Linked DNA regions of Daphnia pulex. The protein of the gene in region 2 binds, or shares a complex with, the protein of the main gene of each other region. Links are inferred from orthologs where the notes say so. Each region holds a gene or a part of one and is shown on either strand. Other genes may lie near its edges.

What was found.
Region 1: DNA-directed RNA polymerase III subunit RPC9-like (region 2) and DNA-directed RNA polymerase III subunit RPC10-like share a complex: the UniProt entries of both Homo sapiens proteins name them as parts of the RNA polymerase III complex. The link is inferred for Daphnia pulex from reciprocal best matches to the Homo sapiens genes CRCP and POLR3K.

Annotation. Positions count from the first base shown.
Region 1 is NC_060019.1:12,452,954-12,455,617, reverse strand, and holds DNA-directed RNA polymerase III subunit RPC10-like, read right to left. Parts: upstream 961-2,664; coding exon 634-960; downstream 1-633. Other genes in the region: yrdC domain-containing protein, mitochondrial-like, read right to left, coding at 1-557; feline leukemia virus subgroup C receptor-related protein 2-like, read right to left, coding at 2,161-2,452, 2,528-2,638. UniProt on the Homo sapiens protein: Core component of RNA polymerase III (Pol III) which synthesizes small non-coding RNAs using the four ribonucleoside triphosphates as substrates. Can mediate Pol I proofreading of the nascent RNA transcript.
Region 2 is NC_060023.1:11,614,071-11,616,341, reverse strand, and holds DNA-directed RNA polymerase III subunit RPC9-like, read right to left. Parts: upstream 1,225-2,271; coding exon 1,217-1,224; intron 1,152-1,216; coding exon 1,115-1,151; intron 1,045-1,114; coding exon 961-1,044; intron 894-960; coding exon 741-893; intron 677-740; coding exon 590-676; downstream 1-589. UniProt on the Homo sapiens protein: DNA-dependent RNA polymerase catalyzes the transcription of DNA into RNA using the four ribonucleoside triphosphates as substrates.

The DNA.
Region 1 (2,664 bases), on a different chromosome or scaffold from region 2:
ACAACAGTAGATCCTAGTCGAGCGGTAGAGCCGTCTGGAATAGGGCCACCGTTGAAGACAGCCCCGAGATGCTCCCAAATCCCTAGAAATTCTTCCACCGATAGAGTACTCTGAGATCCGCTGATGTTGGCGCTAGTCAACGCTAAAGGTTCAGCACAGCTATTTGCCAGTTGACGAATGAACCAAGAGTCCGGAATTCGAATGCCAACAAGTTTAGTTCCGGGGTTGAGTTCAGGATTCAAGGCAGGACTTCTTTCGAACACAAGGGTGACGGGTCCAGGTAAAAGGTCGTGCAGTAGACGTTCATCTACTGTAACGTGTCCCCACTTGGCGATTTCGCTAACTTGCGACACGCAAATAGCAACCGGTTTATTCTTGTCTCGCGATTTGATTTGATAAAGTTTTTTCAAAGCTTCTGAACTTTGGGACAGACAAGCGATCCCATATAAAGTGTCTGTTGGAAGAGCAATCACACTGCCCGATTTCAGAAGCTCCACTGCATTTTTTAGGATGGCTGCGGAGTTCTTGGGCCCAAGGAGGATGACTGGGTTGATCATTTGACAATTTTAAAGGCGATAATGAGTTGAGTTTAACATGAAAAAAAGAAAGTGGGGGTTTGAAGGCAGGTTGTGTCTAATCACGCCACAGGTTGGAGCACTCGTGGTTGCAGCACTTGTAAAAGGTGGTCATAGGCTCATCTGCAGATCGTGTCTGCATCTGCAAAAAGTAAGCTCTTGAATGGTCACACTTGGGACAAGTTGCTTCAGTGGAATCCACATTCTCCCAGGCAGCAACTCCTCCTAATACATCATCCACTTCCTTAAGTTTGGGGAATGATTTGCTGCTAACTTTTCGATTAATGTTGAATACGTAAGGGCAAGTACGGCAAGAGAATCGGAAACACTTGGGTCCTTCTTCAACACCCAAAAGATTTCCACACGTGGGACAGAACATCAACATTTTGATAACTTCGTAAGATCAATGTCTTCTCATTCAAAAACTTCGTACCATAATACAGAGTTTAAAATGCCACCATTTATATCTGCAAGGGAAATCAAGCATCATGTAACTTGAGAATGTTAGATAATAATCATAGTGATGGAATTTTACCTCTAACAATCGCAAATTACCCGTTGAAAAATGTTGCTTCGATTAATGTCGTCCCCTTTTTCCAACATACTTCCGCCCATGCTTTTTCGTCAGCTGTTTAGAAAAAAGCGTTGCCAAGTCGTGGTAACGTAGACCAAGTTCGAAGCGCCAAATCGAATTGCGAATTGCCGATAAATAAACAAATTATTTATTGTTGTCAAGATTTATAATTTATAATTTATAACCTCGTACTCATAGTAAGAGGTAATTTATTTCATGAACTTTGTTCTTTGTTCATATCAGTGATAAAATTCACTCCCCAAACCCCTTTTGGGAAATAAGCTAAGTATTTTTTTTTAAATAATAAAATTTGATGTTGTGGCAAGCCCACAATAGCAAAGTGATAGTAGTTGATGGGGATCCCACCTTTTTTTTCGGGGGAGGGGTTTCACACCCTTCTTTTTTATTGGTGAAAAAAAAAACGTGAACGTGGTGGCATTAGATTTTATTTGGCGCAATAATTGTTAACTGTCACATCATCCAAACCAAATGATTTGGTCAGTTTAAAATGGGTCGTGGTGAAAAGTGAAAACAACTTTAACGTCAAAGGCTCATAAAGAATCGAATGCATAATACTCTGTAATGAAGCTAACTTGGGTTTGAACTTTGCTTTCCATTCCCTGCATTGTACGGAAGACAGCAATTTTACTACATTAGTAATAACACAGAAATGTAAACTCTTTTAGACCGGAACCGAAAGAGAGAGGCTATAAGCTATATATATAAGTATACATACAGTCTATAACTATCAATCACTTTACTTTTTTTTCCCCCATTGAAATCGTCGTAACGGATTCACGGTATAGCCGCAAACTTTGTGCAGCAGCCAATCACATTGAAGGAAGCAACATTTTGAAATGGCAGATAATACAGTGACACAAAGTTTACCTAACTACATATCTATAACAATAAGCAAATCAACTTGTTCGAAATTGCGTGAGGCAAATGTGGCATCTCTTGGAGACAGGCAAAGCTCTTACTGGTGAAGCTCAGAGAGTCGATTGATGACACTTAGATAGCTTCGTTTGCTCGAAACGCTTCCATCTGGTTGGCTCTTTGGCGTCTGAGATCCGAACGGATGAACAGCGATAGAGCAGCGCCGAAAAATAGTGCTGCCGACAAACTTCCGTTACAGACCAAATCGCCGTAGTTGCTCAAGAGCCAACCCCCGATGATTGTGAAGACGATACCAAATACTTGGGCGGAGGCATTCAGTAAACCAGACGACGTCACTTCTGGCTCAGGGTACGTCAATTCAGCTGCAAACTCGAATCCAACAGGCAGATATCCAGTCATAAAGAACCTTAACCAAATTATCACAAATGTTACGAAATCTTTTAGAACACATAAGTAATATTTAAAAAAAAAAGCTTATTACCCTACAGCTCCGGCCGTGACGAACGTAATGACGATATATTGAAGTTCGAACGTAAAGGTGTAGGCGACCATTCCGGCCACTGCTAATCCATACACCACAAGAGTTGTTTCCCTAAATAAAACAGAACGCAAAAGTCA
Region 2 (2,271 bases):
TCTTTCTTCGAACCCCCCAAACCCCACCATTTGTCATGTGTCTGTTGTGTATTTAAGAAAAAAAAAAGTCCTGAAATATCTCCCACGTCTTTTTGTTTTTTTCTCTCCGACCCCCTTTACCATTTACTCTTCCTCCAAGGAGTTAGCACTCGGGCGATATACACACAAAATATGTTCTCCATATTGATTCTGTCCATCTTATTTTGATCCCGTCATTACAATAAATGAACAGAAATGTGCAACCAAAATGACAATCTTATTTATTCAAGTGATGTCTAACCTAGAATCAAGTTTGGTTCACCCCGGAATGAATCTTCTGTCAAGTGTTTCGAATGTTTCCGTCGTTATCCTGCTGTTAATGGTTAGGATGTTGGAAGGAATGTTGATCGACTAAAAACAAATAAAGATAAAATAACGGCTGTCGAGAAACCTTGATGGATAACGGTGGTTTCGTTGGGCACATGGTGTAATGGTTAGGCAATTGAAACATTTCGCTGTCATCTCATGCTTTCTCGGATTTAGTAATTTGTTTACATTCAGAGTTGAGTTTTTAACGAACGTGAAAATGAGAATCGGGGTTAAAACAAATTTATTCTGGCAAAGTATTTTGAATGAGTTCTATGAGCTCCTCAATTTGTTCTTCAGTCAACCGTTCCTGATCTGTAGATTGGACAATCTAAAAAGGTTTGAATCACTGATTAAGACATGGACAATTCTAGTGGCATGCATAGCTTTTATACCAGTGATATTTCAACGTCAGTTTTAGGCCTCAGATTCAAGATCATGGTTTTCTCTTTTTTAGTCAGTCCAAACTTTTTCACATCCTCGAGAAATTTCTTGAAGCAACCCTCAGACTGTACTGCAGCTGGCGTGCCTTCAAGATATTTTATGGCCTATAGGCAAAAAGAAACTGGTGAATCGAAGCAGATACACATTGAAATCATTTGAAAAAATCCTTACTTCATACGTGATGGTGGCTAAGGACCCACTTTGATTCCTGGTTTGGTCTCCTTTGACTCTTGAACTGTTCAAAAGTCCCAGAACCTTGAAGAATGTTAGATTACAAATAAATTATTCAAAGCCACACATTCTCCAGTAAACAGGTTTTACCTACCTCAAAATTGCTAAGTATAGCCGTGTTTGCATCGATTCTGTAACACAAACAAAAAATGGGGTTGAGTGGAAGTTCATGGACAAATTTATACAATTAGCTTACATTTCCATTTCAATTACGATCAGTAGCCAGAAATGCTTGAAGATTCCAAACACGAGCAGATTGTTTTGAAAAAAATGCACGTTTTTTTAGAGAACTTTTCTTCACGCTGCAGTTGTAGGCAACGATGTCATTTGGAAACCGCGGTAAAATTATTTCGATTTCAATTCAGTTTTATCAATTCTATCTATTTAAAGAAATTTTGAAAATAATCCAGCAAGTATTATGTAATTTTCGTTTGATCAAAATTATCTTGTGGTTTTTAAAGGCACGAAGAGGAAGCAACGCTGTAATTGCTGTCTGCTAAATATTGGTAAACATTCTCTTTGGATGAGGTTTGCAATGTTGAAATCATGTCGTTGCTTTCAATTGCTACCTTGATTATTCAAAGAAAAAAGCCGACCGCACCGCAATATCGCAAGGTAAAGGTGCCCTATTTACTCTCTTTAGTATTTGAAGGTTTTCTTTGCTTAATCTACCTCGTGGGCATGTTTATTTCGTAAGGTTGATTCACCATAGTAAGCCATAAAAGATATATATGTTATCTTATCGCTTATCAGCAAGAATCATAGACCTATTACAACTACAGGTGAAGAATACAGGCAAGGCATAATCCTAAATTTTCTGTTGATGTAAATTATATTCTAACAAAGTAAAAAAAAATTGTATAGAGCAATGGATAACCAACCTAGTATTGTTGAAGCAGATGCTGTTCATCATAGGTTGAGTAATCAAGTCAATACAGTCAAAGATTTTCCCTATAGATGCTATGACTGCCCACAGTTATTTACTGCATTGGAAGACTTGGCTCAGCATTCCATTAAAAACCCAACCCACAGTGAAGAAATGTGTTTAAAGTGCAAGAAATCCATTGTTGTATTCTTTACATCTAAATGTGCAGTGAGAATTCACTCTTGTAACAAATCTGATGTTTGTCACAATCATTCAGATCTTCACTTTCACAGTCAGTTCCTTTTTACCAAATTAAATTCATCAGGTTTGATTCCTGATTACACTGTTATAGGATGTGACCTTCAGAGCTGTGAAGCTAGTTTTGA